Linked DNA regions of Rattus norvegicus. The protein of the gene in region 2 purifies or fractionates together with the protein of the main gene of each other region. This does not show direct contact. Links are inferred from orthologs where the notes say so. Each region holds a gene or a part of one and is shown on either strand. Other genes may lie near its edges. The genes, in order: Snrnp70 and Snrpa.

Region 1 (3,910 bases), about 13 Mb from region 2:
CAGGACAAAAGAACATCAATCTAAATGCCTGTAGACATTTGACATTTGTCATGATATAGGTAACATGGTTGTAAGGTACAGTACCAAAGCTACCTAGTTCCTTCCCATAGCCAAGAACCCTGTCACAGAGGGCCAAATGTTAGAAATATGTCTGAAAGGATGGTGGGCAGGGCAGACCTCCAAAGCAAGACGATCTGTAACACCATGGCAAGTCATAAAATCCTCTCCAGGCTCTCATTAAATGCTAATTGGCACATGATCTGCAAAAAGGGTGCCACTGAGCTGTACCCATTAAAGTAAATGTTTATTGGATAATAACATTTCTCAAGTGGCATGTAGACAAATATTACTGAAGAATCACCTTTCTGTTATCTAGTAAATTCTACTTTTCCTACTTAATGTCAGAATGTTCTTCCTGAGACATCTGGCTATATGGCAGTGTTTCTTAGGTCTGCTCTGAAGGTGGGCATGACAAACTTTCTGCATAAGAGAACTGACTCCAAGGAGCTCAAGTGACTCATATGTACTCAGCAAGTACAGAGCCAACCCCTAGCTCCTAGCCTCAAGCACTGCAGGACGCACTGCTCAGCCCCAGCAAACACTATCCTCTTTAAAAACCACTTTATTTTTACATTTGTTTATTTAGATGAGGATGTATATGTATCACTGTGCATGTAGAGATCAGAGGACAACATGCTAAAGCATATCCTCTCCTTCATTGTGGATTCTAGGACCAGAACTCAGATTTCTTGGCAACAATCACTTTTCACTGCTAAGTCATGTCGTGTATGCAACCCTGTCCTCTTAATGACAAACACAGACATTTACTGCCTTATCCCAAATCCTTTAACAGACATTCTGTGACTCAGCTCTCCACTGGTTTCATCTTACTGCTACCTCTTGCTAAAGCTAAAGCTAACCTAATGCATTACATATGATGTTTTCTGGGTTAGTGGTAGAGACCTAGAACTCTGGCTCTTTGAGCAGAGTAAGCGTAAGTTCAAGGCTGGCCTTAGTGACAAAGGGAAATCTACAAGACCAGCCAAGACTCCACGAAAGACTGTAACCACTCCCCCACCCCACCCCCAACTCCCCTCCCGCAGGACAAAACAACAACCCAGACAGGGTGGAGATACACTTGCCAATGTAACCAATCTAGCCAATAAACTTGGGCAAGGGACTACCATATCCATACAAAAGATATTAACTCTGTGAGGAAATGAACCACTCCTGGAAGCAATACCTGCAGCATTTACAAGACTGAGGAAGAGGACTGCTATAAGGTCAAGGCCACACTGAGCTCTACACACACACACACACACACACACACACACACACACACACACACACAGCAAAATCCTGTCTCAAAACTCAACCAAAAGATGATAGTTCTTCAGGTTAAAGCTCTTGCCATCAAGTCTGAAAACCTCAGCTCCTGGACACACAAGGTGGAGAGAATGGGCTCTTGCAAGTTGTCCTCTGATGTTCACCGGTTTGCACATACACACCCACACATATACAAAAGTGTAATAAAAAAATTAAAACGCGGGCTGGAGAGATGGCTCAGCAGTTAAGAGCACTGACTGCTCTTCCAGAGGTCCTGAGTTAAAATCCCAGCAACCACATGGTGGCTCACAATCATCTGTAATGGGATCTGATGCCCTCTTCTGGTGTATCTGAAGACAGTGACAATGTACTCATATACACAAAATTAATAAATCTTTAAAAAAAATTAAAACGCACACAAAAGCACGAAACAATATAAGAAACAGTACAAGTCACACGCACGCACCACACAACTAAAAAGGTTTTGAAGCTGAATGCCTCAAGGTAGCCCGCCCCCACCCAGAAGCCGAACACTCCCAATGTGCTCACCTCAAACTCTCGGATATATGGTGCAATGCCACAGTAAGGTTGGTTATGGTGTTTTTCATGTGGCAGCTTTTCCAGGGGTGGCAGGTATGGGATGGGGTCTCGGGGTGCAAAAAGGGCCAGAAGGTTGGGAGGCAGAAACTGTGTCATCTTCCCAAATCTAAGACCAGAAACGTTATGTTAGCAATCTTTATTTAGAACAGGTTTCTTCTAGGACCCCTCCACTCAAAAAACAAAACAAAACAAAACAAACAAAACAGGCGTGAGATTTCCTGGATGCTGCTATCCCCTGCCTGAAAAAAGGCCTTGGCAGGAGCTAAAAAAAGGAAAGGCTAATAACACAGAAAACAAAGAGGAAAAGGAGTCAGGAGGTGTGGGGCCCAGGGATCCTGAAGCCTCGAGCTCTAGAGGTTGCTCGCTTCATACCTTCAAGATTACGAAGTAGGGGTTTCAAGGTAGGCCATAAGGATAATATCCCGTAAGCCAGGGGGCCTCTGCGTAAAATATCTAGGATGCCAGAGACGAAAGGAATTATGGGTAGAGGTCCAGGATGCGACCAAAAAAAAAAAAAAAGGCGAGGAAAAAAAGCAACACACAAACCGCAAGGGCCTGTGGGTAGGGGACCGCAGGAGATTGGGGGAGGGGGGACTCTGAGGGAAAGAGAGCCTGAGTGCCCAGAGAACTCTGGGTAAAGGATGGGGAACGCAGGGGGTAAAGTCTAAGGCACTGACCCGGGAAGCGGGCCACAGCCCCGGGGAAAGGGTTCGGGGCCCCGCAAGGGTTTGTGGGTAGCGGCCCCACACCCCGTTAAGGCCACTCATTCACCCACTCACTCACCGCGCGGCGCTCTTCTCGGCCTGACGTTAGTCTCAGGCCTCGCGGCCGCCGTTCACAAACAAAAACTCCCGCTCTGGCTTCCACTTCGGCGGTGCCCGCGTCAGGTATCCACTGTGGTCCGCGCAGCGCGCGCAAACCAGGCCTCTCCTCGCAACCCGCGCGGCCTCAGCTCGCGATCAGAACCGGGAGTGAATGCGACTCGAATCCCTCCGCCTTTCTCACTGCGCATGTGTTATAGGAACCGAAAGAAACCCTCACACAAGTCCGGCCACACCGCGGGCACTGCGCACGCGCAAAAGCTATAGGCCGCCTTAAATGCCTAAGCTTCCGCGGCCCAGCGACCTTATTACGCATGCGTTATCGGACCTAAGTCAGTCTCAACCTCGCGCTCTAGCTAACCGCCTATGACCGCGAGACACTTACAGATGTTCCACCCTTTTTCCTTACACTTCCCGGACCTTCGACGCATGCGTCTAGGTAATGCACGTGCACATATCCTTCCGCAGTCTGTCAAAGAGTGCGTACCTGAACAGGGTCTTTGCAGTTATGTTATTTAAGAGAGAACTCTTTCCCAAATTTCTCGTATGTGCTAGCCACTATTTGGTCTGGGGGACGCAGATCATGACAAAATACTCTTCTCCTTCCTGGAGTTCACATTGTTGAGAGAAAAGATCCATCCGTTTGGTATTTTTTTTCCTTTTTAATGTGTTCTGTTTTTTTTTTTCAGACAAGGTTTCACCATATAACCCAAGATGATTTTGCATTTTGTATCAGTGTGTGTTATTTATCTATATATGTTTATATATACATACATACGCGATAATATGTGTATATATATTTTCTTGATGGGTGTTCTTGTGTTTGTTTTTGGTTTTTGTTTTTCGACACAGGGTTTCTCCGTGTAGCCCTGGCTGCCCTGGAACTCACTGTGTAGACTAGGCTGGCCTCAAACTCACCCACCTACCTCTTGCCTCCTCAGTGCTGGGACCAAGGCACAAAACACACAATTCCAGGTTTTTTCTTCTACATCTTCTCCTTCTCCATTTTCTTCTTTCTTTCTTCCCTCCTTCCTTCTTCTGTTTCTTTCTTCATTTGAGGCAATGACGGATCTGGAGCGATGACTCAGCAGTTAAACACAACTGACTGCTCCATCCAGAGGTCCTGAATTCAATTCTCTGCAGTCACCCTGACCTTCAGCTCT
Region 2 (3,910 bases):
AAATGCTACAGCTCAACAGCGTACAGTAACACAAACAGCCAAGAACCACTCAAAGGACACGTCCACTGCTGTACAAGGTGTGGACTGCTATATACCCGCTACGAACTTGCTGTTCAAATAACAAACACTTCTTTCACTCCAGATGAGCTAACCTCAGTCCTTTCATTCACTCACTTACTTATTCAAGGCACAGTCCAATTCTGCAGTTGAACTCTAGGCAATCCTCCTGTTTCAGTCTCTGATCACAAGCAGGACCTCCCAGTCTCTGCAACTCCTCAGCCTTTGAACTCTGAGTGGGATGTCCTTTTCCTGACATCTCCATGACTGCCCTCTCCGAGCCACTAAAGTCTCCCACAAGTCTGCAGCCTCCAGGAGGCCCTCTCCAACTGGTCTGTCTAGACGCCCCCTTATCTCCCTCTTCTTATCCTGTCTCCTGCTGTTCATGTCACAAGTTCACTTACTGACCACTGCTCACTAACAGCTACCAGCCTGTGGATTGGACATGCTGGCACCACCCCGGAATCTCAACACTGGATTTCCTGGATCAGGAGCTGGAGGCAGGAGCATCAGGTACCTGAAGTCATTTATTGTGGGACCTGGGAAAGATAGGCTTATTGGCAAGCATGCGTACCAGCTGAACCATCTTTCTGGTCCTCCCCGGACAATTTTCTCTAGTTGGTCATAAGAACTATGACCCTCCCTCAGCTTCTCAGTGCTACTGAGAAAAAAGCAACGCACAAAGGGGCCAGTGTAAGGGTGGTAGAGCATCCATCTACTTCACAAGCTTCACAGCCTGAGTATGACCTCAGGAACTCACAGTGGAAGGAGGAAGGCCTCTCTAGAGCCGTCCTGACCACCCACCCACACACATATCCATTTATAGACACATACCAACTATGTATATATAGTTACTTGTGTTTAGTTTTTTAAAGATGTGTGCTGGGATTCAGTCTTTGCAGAAAGGTAAACTTTCTACCCCTGGGCCTTACCTTCCAGAGAAAAACTGAATTGGCCGGGATTTTTGTTTAAAAATAGTTATCTAGGGCTGAAGAGATGGCTCAGTGGCTAAGAGCACTGACTGCTCTTCCAGAGGTCCTGAGTTCAAATCCCAGCAACTACATGGTGGCTCACAACCATCTGATGCCCTCTTGTGGCGTGTCTGAAGACATCTACAGTGTGCTTATATACAATAAATAAAAAGTATTAAAAAAAAAGTTTTCTAAGTTTTTTTTAAATATGTGGGTATTTTGCCTGCAGAAGCCAGAAGATGTCATATCCCTGGGAACGGAAGTCACAGACAGTTACAAACCTTCCTTGAGTGCTAGAAATCAAAACTGGATCCTCTGGATGACCAGGGAGGGCTGTTTAACCACTGGGTCACCTCTCCAGGCCATGCTGATCTTCTTAGTTGCTGAGACTTAAATCCAGATCCTTACTCACGCTAGACAAGACTAACACTAGTGGCATTCCTCGATCCTTTTGGTGTCAGGGTCTGACTATGTAGCCCAGTGTTGTCTGGAACTCAAGATCCACCTGCCTCAGTCTCCTACCTGCTGGGATAACAGTCCTGTACCTCCATTACAGAGCCATTCACTGCCCATCGCTTCTGCGTGTTATCTGCACTGTAGCCAATCACTGAGACCACCACCCCGAGGTTTGTGGACAGAGGTAGTCTCACAAGAACACCAGACCGATGGAGAGAGCAATCCTGGAAGGGACCTGTGAGCTAAAACCTTGAAGATCACTAACAATGCGCAAATCAAAGGGCAGAGTGTAAAATGCCTGTTGAAACCAAGGAACCAGTATGTACAAAGGCCAAAGCCAATTCTTAACAGACTGAATGGGGAAAACTGAAAAAGAAACGTGGGTGCTAGAGGTGAAAAGGGGTCAACTCTTGTGAGATCGCATTGAGTCAGGCTACCCCAAGAACTCACCATCTTTCTTGATCTTCTCATTGAGATTGTTGATATAAATAGTGTGGTTGGGACGGGTCTCGGGAACTGCCATGGTGTGAGATGTTCAGGTACTGCTTAAGGAGGAAGAAAAAGCGATTTAGCCTTACGTTTCCCAAGTTCTTTGTTCTAAAGGACTGGTGGGCTCTGCTCAGGGATCTTTCTTCCAGGAGGGAGTAGAGTAAGACCGGAATTGGGGGAGGATGGCACACTTAGCAACAAAGCCAGCCTAGGACTCCGCGTCTCCAGCCCGCGTGTTAAGGAAGATCTAGAGATTAACTACGAATCCCAGAATGCACTACGAGCCCCGGCAGGCGGAGCACACGGAGCGGCTCTTCCCATTAGTCCACGTGCGCGAACGGCGACCCGGGAGAAAAAAGAACCCGGATGTCGGAGCCAGTTAAGAATGTAGAGATCGACTCGGAACATCCTAGTCTCTCAAAAGAGAGGCCTCCCCAAGTGCTCCACCCGCTTCCCCGGCGCCGAGCGGCGTCTACACCCGCGGGAACTCACCACCTAAGCCGTCGCTCAGACCGACAGCGCCCGCCAAGCTACGCTGCAAAGACACACAGCTTCTTTCTTCCCTGGTTCCGGCTACCCCCTTCCGCGAGCTAATCAGGGCCCGCAAACTCCGTAAGTTCAGAATAAGTCTCTTCCCGGGCCTCAGTGCCTGCCCAGGAAAAGAACGCTTGCGTTCCCGCCTTAGCGATAAGCTCCTCCCCCTTGCCGAGAGGGGACGGACCAATCAGAGAAGGGTACGAGCTTTTGGCCAATTGGGACGTGGTTAGAGCTCCAGTGCTATTCTGGAGACTGCCTTTCGGGAGCCACACCTCTTCCCCTTCCGCCAGTATCACGTGACCTTCAAGGCGCGTTGTGCTGGTTGCGAGTTCTACCACGTGGGATGGGAAAGGACACTTGGAGGCTGGCAGGGTGACGCCATTTCCTCCCGGGGAGGGGCCTCTGCAAATTCCTAGGTTCTATTCTCTAGTGGAGCGGTATTTACCAACTTAGTCGGCCTTTGATCGCTGAGCTGCTGCAACTCTCATGCTTCCTGGCTGGTTCCTTGACCCTGCCCACCATTAGGTTGTTTTCCCACCTACGTGTCTTTTTTTAACCTCTTGACCCTAGCTCAGATGCAAGGATTCAAACTCAGGCCCGGGATGTGAGGTAGGCCAGTCTCATCCTTTGGACACCTCACAACAGATCTGAACCTCCTTATTACAGAAGTGACCAAAACTAGCTTAGTTACGGCTGCTGAGATGACGCCTACAAAATTTCCCTTCTAATGTAGCCTCAGCCCCATAGCACAGCCTTCTTCATTTGATTTAGCTCAGTTTCTCTTTCCACTGTTTCAAATACTAACCCAGGTTCTCCCAGACCAACTGGTCAGGCACCATATTCTGCAATCAGTTCTAGTTTTAATTATTTTTTTCTACAGGTCTTAATGTGCAGGCCTGAATATCTCTCATCCAGTTCTTTTAAAAACTGAAAATCTCCATCCTTGAGAGATTTAGGAGGATCCTCTTTCTCATTCTTCCTGAAGACCCCAAATGACTTCTCAATGCTCTTTCCCCCTAAAACCCATAATCCCCCCAATAATTCATGAGACCCAAGACACCAACATTCCACCTCCTTTACCCCCAAATCCCCCGGACTTAGCTTTACCATCTCCTCCTTGTAGTCTCCAGGCTTCTGTTTCACCCCCACCTCCGCCCCCGCCCCCTCCACCACCCCCTCTCCCACCCCCTCCACCCTCTGCTGTGGAGGTTGCTCTCCCTCATGTCTACGGCCTGAAGAACAGCCGGCTCCTGAAGGAGGCCTTGGAGAAGGCTGGCCCAGCTCCAAAAGGCAAAGTTGATGTAAAGAGACTCCTGAAGCTGCACAAGGACAGGTAGGGTCACCACCCCCCTGCCAGCCCAGATCTCAGACAGCCACCTGTTTACAAATCACCATAGCCA

What was found.
Region 1: the proteins of Snrpa (region 2) and Snrnp70 purify together in Homo sapiens (affinity purification with mass spectrometry; 4 studies listed by BioGRID and IntAct, counting the BioPlex papers as one, with this or other methods). This does not show direct contact. The link is inferred for Rattus norvegicus from reciprocal best matches to the Homo sapiens genes SNRPA and SNRNP70.

The regions. Positions count from the first base shown.
Region 1 is NC_086019.1:105,009,959-105,013,868, forward strand, and holds the start of Snrnp70 (U1 small nuclear ribonucleoprotein 70 kDa), read right to left. Parts: upstream 2,894-3,910; 5' UTR 2,710-2,893; intron 2,621-2,709; exon of another isoform or gene 2,299-2,620; intron 2,033-2,298; 5' UTR 2,023-2,032; coding exon 1,876-2,022; intron 1-1,875. UniProt on the Homo sapiens protein: Component of the spliceosomal U1 snRNP, which is essential for recognition of the pre-mRNA 5' splice-site and the subsequent assembly of the spliceosome. SNRNP70 binds to the loop I region of U1-snRNA.
Region 2 is NC_086019.1:91,615,515-91,619,424, forward strand, and holds the start of Snrpa (U1 small nuclear ribonucleoprotein A), read right to left. Parts: upstream 2,529-3,910; 5' UTR 2,466-2,528; intron 2,030-2,465; 5' UTR 2,008-2,029; coding exon 1,935-2,007; intron 1-1,934. Other genes in the region: Actmap (actin maturation protease), read left to right, coding at 3,503-3,843. UniProt on the Homo sapiens protein: Component of the spliceosomal U1 snRNP, which is essential for recognition of the pre-mRNA 5' splice-site and the subsequent assembly of the spliceosome. U1 snRNP is the first snRNP to interact with pre-mRNA.